2 linked regions of the Canis lupus familiaris genome follow. The protein of the gene in region 2 interacts with the protein of the main gene of each other region in a biochemical or structural test. Links are inferred from orthologs where the notes say so. Each region holds a gene or a part of one and is shown on either strand. Other genes may lie near its edges.

What was found. The genes of interacting proteins can lie anywhere in the genome.
Region 1: of the proteins of HTRA2 (region 2) and CSN2, one has a biochemical effect on the other in vitro, tested with the Homo sapiens proteins (2 studies listed by BioGRID). The link is inferred for Canis lupus familiaris from reciprocal best matches to the Homo sapiens genes HTRA2 and CSN2.

What each region holds. Positions count from the first base shown.
Region 1 is NC_049234.1:60,455,577-60,463,043, forward strand, and holds the start of CSN2 (beta-casein precursor), read right to left. Parts: upstream 4,772-7,467; 5' UTR 4,721-4,771; intron 2,834-4,720; 5' UTR 2,822-2,833; coding exon 2,771-2,821; intron 2,031-2,770; coding exon 2,004-2,030; intron 1,901-2,003; coding exon 1,874-1,900; intron 814-1,873; coding exon 790-813; intron 694-789; coding exon 649-693; intron 1-648. UniProt on the Homo sapiens protein: Important role in determination of the surface properties of the casein micelles.
Region 2 is NC_049238.1:49,110,366-49,117,649, forward strand, and holds HTRA2 (serine protease HTRA2, mitochondrial), read right to left. Parts: upstream 4,058-7,284; 5' UTR 4,055-4,057; coding exon 3,549-4,054; intron 3,446-3,548; coding exon 3,241-3,445; intron 3,153-3,240; coding exon 2,958-3,152; intron 2,717-2,957; coding exon 2,684-2,716; intron 2,446-2,683; coding exon 2,340-2,445; intron 2,193-2,339; coding exon 2,123-2,192; intron 1,438-2,122; coding exon 1,342-1,437; intron 1,235-1,341; coding exon 1,069-1,234; 3' UTR 1,064-1,068; downstream 1-1,063. Other genes in the region: LOXL3 (lysyl oxidase homolog 3), read left to right, coding at 87-198, 387-460.

The DNA of each region.
Region 1 (7,467 bases), on a different chromosome or scaffold from region 2:
GCTTAATTCAAGGACTTAACACCAGCCACCTTCTAGCCCTACTTCCCTTGGTAGAAGGTAGTTATCTTGAGTCTTTTGAGAGTCATCAGTTTGTAAATTCATTTTGATTTAGGAAATATTGGGCATAAGTTCCAAAAAAATACTTCACTGATAAAATAGGGAAGTTGAAATATTACAATTAGATAAATATGTTACCACAAATGTAATTTGATTAAATGAAGAATTTTATGTTGTCTAAGAAAATCCTTAATTTTAAGCAAGCTCTACTACTTAACAACTGTGATATTGTCAAACAGTTGCACTTATGTCTTCAATATATATTTTTAAAATATTTTATTTATTTTTTCATGAGGGACAGAGAGAGAGGCAGAGACATAGGCAGAAGAAGAGAAACTAAGCAGGGTTCCCGAAGGGAGCTCAATGCAGGACTTGATCCCAGGACCCTAGGATCATGCCCTGAGCTAAGGGAGATGTTCAATGGCTGAGCCACCCACGCATCCTTGTCTTAAAAATATTTTGACTTTGTCAAAACTTAATTTCCTCAGTGGCATTTGTTTTATTATCATTCTTTAGAGTGAATACGTACATATTTTGCATGTATTATATTTCATAATAATGTTAGAAATATAATTCTCAAGCATAAATTACCTCTCTTTGCTGTTGCTCCTCGTGTTTAAAATTCTCAAGTTTCTGCTAAAAACCAAATCACATGTAAAGAAATGTTACCATCTATAAAAATTAAACGTAGGAAATTTTGAAAATAAGTACATTTAAATACAAAGATGTTACCTTGTTGATGTGTGTAATAGATTCCTTAAGAAAAATAAAAATAAAATTAGGTTTAGTTTTATGAATGCTTCTTATTTATCAATATAAGTCAGGAAATGAAGGCATGTAATAGGTTAATGTGGACACTTTGATGATATTCTAAACTCAGGATAATTGCTGAAACTTATATGTTGCACTGTTCTGCATAAACTTATCATATAAAAGAAAAATGAATGCAGTTTTATAAGAAAATAGTGAACACAGTAACAAAAAGAAGTATTTAATAGATGTTAATTTCTATCACCATGCTATCTTCCTAGGTCAACAAATGATTACTTATACTCTATCTGATTCTAAAGAATAATATTTGTTGATAATATGAATTTTATCTTTTAATTCTTTTAATCATTCTTAGTTTACTTACTGTGTTTACACTTCAAATTAATTATAAGAAATAAATACCTCTCTTAAGGGTCTGATAACCTTGTAGAGAGGCAAAGTATACTGACATACTATTTAACTAACAGGTAATAACATATCCATAAAGAGTGGTGCCAAGGTAAATACCTACCTTATTCTCCCAGGCAGATTAAGACTATATACTACCTCTCACCATCTCTTATTTACTAAAGTGACTATTGTAATTATAAAAGGTGTCTATTTGCATGTCTGCTCACGTATTATATTGCAAGCTCTTTACTCTGGGCATCCCTCTTTTCCCTTTGTACCACAGCTCCTATTCAATGTCTGACCCACAGACAGTGCCCAATAAATATCAGAATAGGGAAATGAGGCCAGGGTAAAAACAGCTCAAGACAGAAAACAGGACTGTACAGTACATTAAAAAAAAAAAAAAGAGGGGGTCACGATGACAATTTCAAGTAGTGAGACAATTTAGAAAGTGCTAAAATAGTGAATTCACCAGATATTTATTCTATCTTTATGCACATGCAATGGAAACAAAACATATACAATGGAAATTTACATCAAAACATGTCAAACAGAGCTGCATTGAAGTAATTGTCCTAATGTAACACAATAGAAAGATAGCACAGCATTTTACTCTTCTCAAACTGGGGAATTGCCTCTGAAAACATTTTCTTACCTCACTGCTTGAAAGGCTTTCCACAGTCTGTAAAGAAAAAACAAATCTATCAGCAACCAGCTTTTCCTAGATCATTGAAGAATGTTAATATTTTATGGTTGGAAATTTTTTGTGAATAAAAATATCCTACCTCATTGGATAGAGTGAGTTCTTCCTTCTGTAACAGAAAAAAATACCATTCTAGTTTCCATGGTTAACTCATTCTTAAACATTTTCCCTATATGATTTTTATCTTCTTTATGCAGAGCTATGTGTTTCACAAACTTGAGAAATAAAAAATGCTATATTGAAAGACTTGAAAGGTAGTTATTTTTATGTCTTTTATATTTAGTAACTTTATTGATATATTTTCTTCTTATGTGAATAAACGTTTTTAATGGCTAATAGAAAAAAATTATTATAATTTGTTTTAAACAGTTTATTATTATTACAAATATATTTATGATTATGATTATCGTGTGATACTCCATCCTCTCTCTAAATGTCTTTGGACAAACACAGGTAGAATTGGGCCCAGGGCCATAAGGTAAAGATACATATATTTTATTACTGGAATAAGATATATTTATCTAGGGTGCACATGCCTGCAATCATATTTGTGCAATATTATTATTGTCATGTTTATATCCATTTATTTTTGTTTTGTCTGTTTGCTTATCTGTCCATTTGCTTTTCTTTTTGGGACTGATAGCACAGTATATACCACTGTATACCATTTGACCCAAATCTGTGCTCCTATTGCACACTGTCAAAATAATGTGTCATGCAAATCATTTTCCAGGAAGTCAAAATAAATCTGTTGAAATTCTGCTTTATTTGTACTTTAAAAATGTTGAGGATATTCTTCTCTCCACATAGGTAGATACTCCATTCTATCCTAATTAGACATTTGCTTACCTCTCTTGCAAGAGCAAGAGCCACAAGGCAGGCAAGGATGAAAACCTTCATGGTTATCAAGTCCTGTCAATGAGGAAATGGAAGAATGGTAATACCTTGGTCAAGCTATTTTCTTAATTTAGCTAGGATTACTTTCCTTTTAAAGAAACTAAAGATAATATGTAATAAAAAAAACCCTGTATTTTAGAAAAAAATACTAATAGATGCTTTATCATACGGGCAAGGTCAAAATCTACTGTGGCTCTTTACTCTTACATGTCATTTTCATACCATTCATATTTTTTCATCCATTACCATTACCCTACCTCACTCTTTTTCATCTCATTCACAGCACTATAGTTGGGTTTTTGGAAGGACAGAAAAAAAGTTATAAATATTTACAGAAATATTTACTAATTGATTCATTTGTTCAAAAATATTTATTTAACATCTTTTATTGCCAGACACTATCTAGGTACTGGGTTGATAGCAGCAAACAAATGTCTCAGCCTTGATAAAGCCTCAGTTCTATCAGGAGGTAACTGATCAAAGAAAATGTATATGCAGATTATATTTTCTTTTATCTTTTTTTTTCTTTTTACTAAACCAATGGTTTCCATGAATATTTGTTTAGTCATTTCCATATAATAATGCCTCCTCTCTTTTGTGCACATAACTTTAGAGATTGTACACTGTATTTTTTTTTCTGATTTCTTGATGATTTACCAAAGTGTCTGGTCCCCTTGCCCAATCCCCACTTCAAACAACCTCTTCTTGTAGTATAACATGATATATATGTTAAAGTTTCTAACCAAAATGTACTAAATGCTTGATTTTGTTGCATTTCTGTAATTGCTTGTACAAAATAATGTTTGTACCACTAATATCATTTGGCATACAATCTTCAATCTCAGATATTTAAACAAATTTCTAAACTAAAAATGTCTCATGAAAAAAGTCCCTAATTCATCTGCAAAATATCCCTTCCAATATTTGAAGTCTGAAAATTATTCTTACTTCAGAAAAAGATTTTCTTTTCTAGATCTTTCTCATGGGTACTATATAAACTTTAATTTTACTTTGCCTAAGAGCTTCAGAAGTTTCCAAATAATTTCTCATTGTCAGGACCCCCAAAAAAGAATATAGCATTCTATTAGAGATCATAATGTGTAGGAAGAATCTTATTTCATTTTCTATATTTTCTAATTAGCATTTTATATATTAATTTTTTTAGCCAGAACCTCATTTTTTACCAATGTATTCTATAGTATTCTTTCTTTCAAATCTTCTCTTTCTTTTGCTTTAGTTTCAAGTCATCTCTGTATCATCTTTTTTTCTTTTTTTGGAATTTTTTTCCAAAGTAAAAACATTTTCCCTTTAACTTAATTCTGTATTTTATGTCTATTTTAACAATATTTTGAGCTATTATAAACCAAATGATAAAGGGGGAGGTTGGATACACTAAATAAATTTGAATACATATTTCTGAAAAAATATTTATAAACATTTCAAGTAGTGCATATCCCCAAACAAATTCTGCAGTTTCTTGACTCAATATGCTACCTCTAAAACTACTTTTGGGTAAAAGTTTCCCATTAATTATTCATATCCCAAACCAACAATTTAAGTATATTTTCTTTTATTGCTTTAGTATGTTTAACCAACTTGGAAGATTTATTAATTCAAGAAGTAGATTTTTTAATATAGCTTATTCATTGGCTTTGTATTAAAAATGGTTATCATTATTACTACATTTTTTAGACTCATAAAACATTTGCACTCATAATTTTTATCAAATGTTCTTAGATCTTTCTATTTTTTTAACCTAGGTATTGAAAATAGTGTCAGTGCTATTTTAAATACTCTTATTTCAAAGATCCTATTTTAAGCAATTATTTTCTTCATATAATTTAGCCTAGTTGAAATAAAAGTGAAGAGAGAATACATAAAATTTATATATGAAATTCTTACCTTTTTTCCAAGGTGGAGTACAGAAAGTGAAGGGGAAGCTAAGTGGATGATGGTCTGTCTGCTTTTGTGGTGGTTTATATACTGTATTTGGTGGTATGCTAATTTTGCGGTTTGAGATAAAATCAACGGTCAGCTTCAATTCCAAGAGGTCCACATGATTAGAATATGATTTCTGCCTATTATCTGTCCCCAGAAATTCTGAGGAGCATTTTAACAAGAAAGCAAATCACAAGCCAATAAAGGAAATCTGTCCAGGAAATGTAATTGTCTAATAACTGGAAGACATTGAGGCTCTGGCCCAATCCACAACTTATTGTGGATGCAGTTAAGTCTCTTCAGCCCTCGTGGCTCCTCAAGATATTAACTGTGAGGGGATTTCTATATGAATATCAGACATACGAGGGACTTCACAGAGGCCACAACTTCACGCCAACCTAAGCAGTTGTTGGTGTTTCATGCTACAGTGGAGAAAATAACAAGATAACAAGTCCATGATGATAGTTTAGTCATGTAAGGCTAACTGCTAAGCTCCCAGAACTACTTGATTTGGGAAGAATAAATTTCTCACTTCAACATTGTGTACACAAGAGGAATAAATTTTCCTCTGTAATGAAACATCTTAGAAAAGGAATCTATCTGGATAGCTGGTACAGTGAAAATTCTTGGTAAATCTGTAACAAAAATTTTGTAAAATGTCATGCAGACTTATTTACCTGATAAATATTACCTTTTTCTATTTCAGGCATAATAACCTTTATTTTTTATGCTTACTATACCCCTATTCCAGGCACTATGTGTTTTACAGACATTATCTTGTATAATCTTTACAAAAATATCATGAGGTAGTTGTCCTTTCCATATTTTGGTTGAAGAAATTGAGACAAGAGATTGAGTAACTTGCTCAAATCATATTTTCGTTAATTGCAAAGATACCACTTAAAACTAGATCTGTCTGACTACATGTATTTCTGTTTGTTCATATGCAGTGTCCATGTTTTAACTCCTTTTATAAACTCTGTTATAAAACTTGTTCTTAATGTAGCATTTGTGCTTAAATGTGTAGGATTTAATTATGCTTGAATTGGAGGAGTGGGGCATTGGTGATGAGTGTGGGCAGGGGAATTGGTTATTAAAGAGCTGTGCTTTTAGTTAGACCTGAAAAGAATAAGTAGTATTTTAAGAAATGATAAAATGTGAATAAAGTATTTTGGCTGAAGGAAAGAGGAATTGAAGAGAAAAATACCACATTTGGTGGGATTTGTACTTCAGGATATGTAGAAGGCAGAGAGTATAAAACTACTATTGCAAGGGTTTGATGGAGTCAGATCATAATGCCTTTGAATTTCAATTATGCAGGGTGACATAGTTCATTGGAAATAAGGAAAGATACTAGAGATTTGAAAGAAGGAGGGATTGTGAAATTTCTTGAATTTTATGACTTTATGACACTATCTTAGGGTAGCCTAGTAAAGGAGCTATTATAGTAACATGTTAGTAACATACTATAGTAGTTGAAGACAGACATTATGATGACATCAACTAGAAAGATGGTACTGGGCATCTTAAGCACTGAGAAGACAAATATGTCATTAAAATATGAGAAATGCAAGAAATCAGGGAAATGAATGAATAACATATGCCTGGGTTTTGAAAAGTTAATCATGTTGTAAACCAAGATAAGAAGCCAGGCTGAAATTAGAAAGGCTTAAATCTTGTATACGGTAAGTTTGAAGGTATCCAGAAGGCTTTGCCACTTAAATGTGATGCTTAGAGTAGTCATAAGTACGTTATAGAAATTTTTTTCCTGACAAAGGAATAAATGAACTTCCCTAGGGAAAGTGTGCAAGTGAGAAAAGAAATTGTCTAAGACTAGAACTCAAGCGCTCCCTGTTATTCAGGGGCTGGTAGAACAAAAGCAAATAGGAGAAATACAAAGTATCGAGGAGAAGAGACTGAAAATCATGGAAGCCATGGGAGGAAATAGCTAGAAGAAACAAGTGGAATTAAGAGGAAAATGCCACACAGGTGGAACTAAGGTGGAAACAAGGAGGAGGTTTTTGGACACAGAGAGTCATTATCATTGAAACCATTGGGATGCACTGCAAGTGGTTAAAAAGCAAGTAATGTGGGAGGAATTCAAAGCAACATTACTCTTCTGAGATTTTAGAAGAGGAAGTAAAGACACCTGTGGAATGGTATCTAAAACAATAGGGACAACCAGAAACACAGGAAGGTAGTTTTAGGATCAAGGTTTGTGGTTCAAAATAAAGAGATCAATGGTGAGAAAGCTGAAACACACCAAAGGTGTGAGAATAAATTGATGAAGCAAATTCTGATAGATTTGGGGCCACAGCCAAAAGAATTAGGCCTGCACAAAATGCACCAGTTTTCCTGACACAGAAGAAGCGGAAAAGAAGTCAATATAATACATACTTTGAAATATAGGGCAAAAAATTTCAAATTAAATGATTTTAATTTTTAGATGTGGTTAATTTTAATTTTAAGATGTGGTTCATCTTAATTTTAGGATGTGGTTCTCAACAGACAGTGAGGCAAGCGGTTATGGGTTTGGGATATTTAAAAAAGAAGAAAATTCTGGTTAATGTGAAAATTAAAAATGAACAAAAGTATCCATATCAGTAATACATTCATTCAAACCCTTTTTAGTGTTTTGGTTTATTACTACTCAACTACTGGCCTCTCTGCCTTCCTAGCTCAACCAATACTTGGTGGTTAGTCATTTCAGC
Region 2 (7,284 bases):
AGCTGGCAAATGGGAGGAAGGTTTGTTAAGGGCACCTCTGGATCTGAGGAGTACAACTGGTCACATTGCCTTTCTCCCACTCACAGGTGGTCATCAACCCCAATTTTGAAGTAGCAGAAAGTGACTTCACCAACAACGCAATGAAGTGTAACTGCAAATATGACGGGCACCGCATCTGGGTGCACAACTGCCACATCGGTGTGTGGGGGAGGGCAACCCAGAGAGACCAGGGTGGGAGGAAAAGGCCTTCATTCACTCACTCTCTTCCTCCTACATTGGTTCTGTGTCCTCCCACCTGCCTCTGCATCTCCCAGCCCCTCAGCTTCTCACCACCCTTCCCCACAATGGGTCTGCTCCCCCACCTAACCCGCCTATTCACCTCGCAGGTGACGCCTTCAGTGAAGAGGCCAACAGGAAGTTTGAGCGCTACCCTGGCCAGACCAGCAACCAGATCATCTGAGGCACTGCCACCCTCTTCTGCAAACCACCACTGGCCCCTGAGGGCAGGGGTCTGAGGCTGCCATTACCTCAGGAGCTTACCAAGGGACCCCTGACATCGGTGGGCTGGCTACTCATCCAGTGCACACTATGGATGTGGAACTGTCAGGCCGAGGTTATCGCCCTCCTTCTCAGGCCAGCTGCCAAGCATGGGGAATTTTTGCTCCCGGGCCCAGCACCGAGCCAAGCACACTGCAAAGAGCAGCACCCAATGAACTGCCAAGGACAGACAGCAGCAGCTGGTTTTCTTGAATAGGGAGGTCAGAATGGTCAGCTCCAGTATCTCCCCTCAGTTCAGGGGGGATACAGCTTTACCTCTAGCCTTTTTGTGGGGGAAAAGATTGGTACCCCCTCCCCCCTTATTTTTGATTATAACATGATGCTAGGTATAATTTTATTTTATATAAAAAGCATTTTTATGATTCCTCAGAGCCCAGGGATTGGTGCTGGTGGTTGGAGGGACCTGCCCCCCACTGGTTCATTTAATCCTCTGTCCAGGTACCCTCAGAGCCTAGGCCAGGAAAGCAAGGTGGAAATCAGAGCAAGAGCCTCATACTCCTGCTGACCCACTCATTCTGTGACTTCAGGGGTCACATATAAGGTCAATGTTTCTGGTCCTCGCCGGATGCGCACTGCCAGCTGCGATTGGGTCCGAACAGCTTCGTAAATATCTTCAGCGTTTTGTACCAGCTGCTCCCCAATAGCCAAGATCACATCACCTGGCCGTAGACCAGCCCTATGGTGAAAGACAGACAGAAAGAGAAAGGAGGGGATAGACAGCCCGGTTCAAGGGCACATGCATACGTCACCCATCCCCACCTCACAATGCAGTCTCTTCCTCACCGATGTGCAGGGGAGTCCAGGATGACCTTATGGATGAGTACACCATGCTGAACATCAGGAAAGCTTGGTTCTCGAAGCTGTAGTTCAGCAAGGATGCTAAAAGGACACAGATCACTCTGTTAACAGCACCAAGGCACTCTCCCCATCTTGGGTTCACCTCAAATCTCTCATCAACACACCGACAACTGCATGGACAAGGGCATGCACTAGATACTCCGGATACAAAGGCAATTCACTTTCTGCCTTTTCAAAGTTAGGAAGTGGGACATGTGTATAAAAGGTAACTCATTCCAAGTGATACATCATATTAAATCAATAGCACTAATGTCATTCTAGAATTCTAAGAGAAACTTTGAGAGAGTAGAACATAAGCTGAGCATAAAATGGTTCTGGTATTTAACTATATAAAACAAGAGCAATATAAATAAAACCATAGGAGTAGGAAATCCAGGTCAGCTGGAACAGAATATATTCTTGTAAGAAGCCAGATCTAAAAGGTTAAATTGGAGACAAATGGAAAATGGCCTCTAAGCACCGGGCTAATGGATTGAAGTTTTTAAACCAAAGCAGTAACAGGATGAAATCAATCTGGTAGCAGGTGTACAAGAGGGATTGGAGTGAGAAAGTCAAGATCATGAGAATAGCTCTTCTGATAGCTCCTAGTGTGGGGCAACTTATCTTAGATAAAGATAAAACTGAGAACAAAGCCCAACAGAAGTGCCACTTGCCCACCACTGAATATACTGGTGGTCCTACAGGTCACTACCCCCAAAGCTCGTACCTGGGAGTCAGGGTCAGCATCATCACTCCAATGTAGCGGCGCTGGGACCCACTGATTCCAAACCAGGAATCTGTGATAGAGGGACAAATGAGCCCCACCCAGTTACATCCTTCCTTCCCCTCCCTTTCCTCCCAGTAGACAACCCCTCTCCAGTAAAGCACAATGAATGCCCTTCCCACCACTCAAAGTAATTTCTTCCCCCCTAAGCCAGGCTCACTCTTCTTTTCCCCACGATGCAGAAACTCTCGAAGGCGATCAGAAGGGATGGCAAAGGAGATTCCAGCTGTGACCTTCATGGTATTCACTCCAATCACCTCCCCATCCTGCAGGAACAGAGCCCACTAATCCCTAGCCCAGAAACATAGTAGGAGGAGGGGATACCTGAACAAGAGTAGCAGGGAGAATGAGGGAGCAGGCTGGGGAGACCTGGTTGGATTTTGGGAGATAGCCAACAGGAGGCTGCTTAGAAACTTGACCAAACATCGTTGAATTAGAGGAAGCACACCCATTCTCACACTGACCTGGGGCAGGGATTCTTGGAAAGAAGGATGTCCCACTCACCAGGTTAACCAGTGGACCTCCAGAGTTTCCAAACTGCAGGACAAGGAGAAAATATGGAAGAGATCCAGGAACTCTATGCCTGGAGGCATGACCAGGATGTAGGCACTTTTTCCAAATTCTCTCCTTTCCCAGCCCAACCTGAGTGGCCACATATTTGCAGCCCAACCTCTGTATACAGGCTCATCCGCCATCTATCAACAGTTGGTGCCTGTACCACACAGCCTTTCCCCCAACCCCCAACCTAGTTTGTCATTTCTCTTATATCAGAACGCACATCAATAGCTGCATCAGTCTGGATGTATTCCACATTGGTTTGGGGGAGGCCCAGGTCTCTGGCTGGACGCTGAGCAGAGCTGACAATGCCAGAAGTGATCGTGTTCTGCAGTGCAAAGGGACTTCCCATGGCAACAACAAACTCCCCTTGCCGGACATCAGCTGAGCGTCCCAGGGGTAGTGTGGGGAGAGGCTCCTGAGAGAGAATGGGTATAAGAGACCTGTCATCTGAAGATGTGAGCAAATTCACAGCCCCAACCAGACCCAGCCTGCTCAGCCCCCACCTTAGTCTGAATCCTTAGCGTCGCAATGTCTGCCACAGGATCCACAGCTGTGACCACGGCCTCATATGTGTCGCCGCTGAGCAGCCTCACACGGACCCGGCGCCGATCTGCCACCACATGAGCGTTGGTTACGATGAGCCCGTCGGCAGCCACCACGAATCCTGAGCCATTCGAGATAGGGACTTCGCGGCCGGAGAAAGGGTGCCTGGAGGGGTGGGGGTGAGAAGCAAGGATGCAGGGAGGCTCACACCCCGGCTCCTCCGCCCTCTAGCCCGCGGCTTGGTGCCTCCTGCCTTCCCCACCGTTACCGGCCCAAGATCTCGATATAAACCACGGCAGGTGCTGTCTTCTCCACCACGTCTGCGATGAAGTTGTACTGGCTCCGGGGAGAGCTGGGCGGCGAGCCAAGGACCGAGGCGAGGACCGCTGGGGGACCCCGACCCCCGCCCCACAGTAACAACAGCACTGCCCCCCCAGCGCCCAGCGCCACCGCCAGCCATATACGCGGACGGGTTCCAGGGGTCCCTGAGCCCTCCTGGGTCCTGGGATCTGGGGTCCCTACAGCCAGCCATGCTCGGGAATCCGAAGTCCTCGACGTCAGACACGTCCGTGGTTCAGGGACCCCCACAGACCACCGGGCCCGGAGGCTGGGGGTCCCATAAGTCACTCGGGCCCGGGGGTCAGGAATTCCTGACGTCAGCAAGGCCCGGAGGTCAGGGGTCAGCAGGGGTCCCTTCCCCGAGTGAACCCCCCCCAAAGCCCGCCATCCCCGGAGGTTCCAGGCTGCACCCCGCCCCGCCCTCAGTGCAGCCATCAGCTCCGCCTCGACTGCCTCCTCGCCCGCCCTACACAGAGGCGGCGCCCTGGACGCGAGGTGGCGGACGGAGGGACGCGGGGCACGCCGGGACCTGAAGTCCTCCAGAAGTGCACGCCGGGACCCAGGATTCCGGGAGGCCGACTCCGCCCCCGCCCCAGGAATGCCGGGAATTGTGGTCCCCGCGGGACGCGAGTTCCTAGGTGGCCCAAGGGCCGCGAGGCATGCTGGGACCGCTAGCCCTTCCGGGGCGCCTCAAGATTTCGGGTGCCCGCACCCTGGGCGGATGCCCGAAGACTCCGCCTTCCCAGGAGCCCCTGCGGCCGGGCGCGAAGATGGCGGCGGCGGCCGGAGAGCTCTAAAGCCCCCGCGATGGATCCTTCCCCGGCGCTGGGGCCGGAGCGGCTCTTCGACTCTCACCGGTAAGAGCCCTGGCGGGAAGAGGCCGGCTCCCGCGTGCACTCGGCCTCCGGCGCCCGATCACCCCGCCTTTCGCCCCCAGGCTCCCGGGTGACGGCTTCCTGCTCCTCGCGCTGCTGCTCTATGCTCCCGTCGGGTTCTGCCTCCTTGTCCTGCGCCTCTTTCTTGGGATCCACGTCTTCCTGGTCAGCTGCGCTCTACCGGACAGTGTCCTTCGCAGGTAACGGCCTGGGGGTCCCGGGGAGGGCTGGGCTGGGCCCGGCCGGAGGCCGTGGAGTCACCACTGCCCGCGTCCCCAGGTTCGTGGTGCGGACCATGTGTGCGGTGCTGGGGCTCGTGGCCCGGCAGGAGAACTCCGGACTCCGGGATCACCGCGTCAGGGTCCTCATTTCCAACCACGTGACACCTTTCGACCATAACATAGTCAACTTGCTCACCAGCTGTAGCACCGTGAGTGGGGGGCAAAGCCGAGAGCTCTACGGGGCGGTTCCCTGGGGCCCAGCTGGAGGCTCCCCTTAGCCCGCCCGGGTTTCCCTTGGGGACCACTGGGAAATACTGAGGCTTACCCCCAATCCCGCTTCTGTACCCTAGATGTCAGTTTTTCTCACTTCCCAATATTCTTTTCTTGCTTTCTCTCTTCTCTATTCCCAGCCTCTACTCAATAGTCCCCCAAGTTTTGTGTGCTGGTCTCGGGGCTTCATGGAGATGGATGGGCGGGGGGAGTTGGTGGAGTCACTCAAGAGATTCTGTGCTTCCACGAGGCTTCCCCCCACCCCTCTGCTGCTATTCCCTGAGGAAGAGGCCACCAATGGCCGGGAGGGGCTCCTGCGCTTCAGGTGGGTGAGCACAGGTATCGGTCTCCAGCTGGGTAGGTGGTCAGGCTTGGGGGCCCTTGATTTTTCACAATTTTCAGCCCTACCTTCTCCGTCCTAGTTGATATCTTTTCTGTTTGCTCTTAGTTCTTTCCCCTTATATCTCTTTATTCTTTATTTACCTACTCGTGCAGTTTAACAGTTTTCTGTTCTGAGTCAGGTGCTGACAGGCTGGCTAGAATCCCATCCTACTGTCTCTTCCGTCTTCCAGTTCCTGGCCATTTTCTATTCAGGATGTGGTACAACCTCTTACCCTGCGAGTCCAGAGACCCCTAGTCTCTGTGGTGAGTGTGTGTTGAACAGGGAATCTCTGGGGCTTGGAGGGTAAGTTTCTCACTGCTGGCCTAGGCTTAGACCTCACTTCATGCCCTCCCTCTAGACGGTGTCTGATGCCTCCTGGGTCTCAGAACTGCTGTGGTCACTCTTCGTCCCTTTCACGGTGTATCAAGTAAGGTATTAACTGCCTTTACTTTTTGGTGCCTGGGAGGAACTCACCTCAGGGTCAGGGAAGTTGCCTCTTCCCTGTTCATTTGTAGATCTTTTAGTATCACGGTTCTATCGCAGAAGCAATACAAAGTGTTTACTATCTCTCCACTGTGATCACAACTGTTCCATGAATAAGTATCAAAGTGGGGGAGAGGGTGAAAGCCTCTAACCCAGGCACACTCAACATGGTCCTGGAATTTCTTTTTTTTCAGGTGGCTCCCGCCTGTTCATCGCCAGCTTGGAGAGGGGAATGAGGAGTTTGCTCTCCGTGTACAACAGGTGGTAGGGTACACAGGCAGGGTGAGGTGGGTTTTTTCCTTAAGGGTAGGAGGAGGAAGTCTTGAGACCTTGACAGTTCCAACCTTCTAATTCTCCCTAGCTGGTGGCCAAAGAATTAGGCCAGACAGGGACACGACTCACTCCAGCAGACAAAGCAGAGCACATGAAACGACAAAGACACCCCAGATTGCGCCCTCAGTCAGGTATGTGGTCTCTGTACACAAAGTTGTTTGGGTTTTCTCAGCCTGTTGTGATTCCCTTCCTATTCCTGTGCTAGTCAGCTTCTCCTTCCTCCCAGTTCTCCACTCACCATGTTTCGGATTTCTTTTTTGCAGCCCAGTCTTCTTTCCCTCCCTCCCCTGGCCCTTCTCCTGATGTGCAGCTGGCAGCTCTGGCTCAGAGAGTCAAGGAGGTTTTACCCCATGTGCCACTGGGCGTCATCCAGAGAGACCTGGGTATGGGAAAGGGTAGCCTCACACAGGAGACAGGCACAGAGAGGAAAAGTGGGTGGTGAGGGGAGAAGGTGAGCAGGGAAACAGACTCCGTTCTTCTCTCTTCCCTTTTCCCCAGCCAGAACTGGCTGTGTAGACTTGACCATCACTAATCTGCTTGAGGGAGCTGTAGCCTTCATGCCTGAAGATATCACTGAAGGGACCCAGTCCCTTCCCACAGCCTCCGCCCCCAAGGTGAGACAGAGGAAATGGTTAGGTCTAGGACTAGTGCTGGGATGGGCAGTCTGCACACTCCCTATTCTTGATGTCTCTTTTTTGATCCTGAGACCCTAGCACAGTGCCTCTCTTGCAAAGTAGGCATTCGATGCGTGTTTAATGATGATGACTTCGCAAGCCCTCTGACATTGTGATCACCTCAGTTCCCCAGCTCTGGCCCGGTGACCCCTCAGCCCACAGCCCTCACATTTGCCAAGTCCTCTTGGGCCCGGCAGGAGAGCCTACAGGAGCGAAAGCAGGCACTCTATGAATATGCAAGAAGGTGAGGGGCTTAGAGGACAGTGGGTAGGAAGGGGCAGGTTGGAGAAGAGAGCTAATTAAAGGGCTAATAGGGCAAAGCCCATACACTGTCTTCTTCCTATGTCTCGCAGGAGATTCAGAGAGAGACAGGCCCAGGAGGCTGACTGAGCACAGGATGGCACCCAGAGCCGCAGGACGGAGGCTG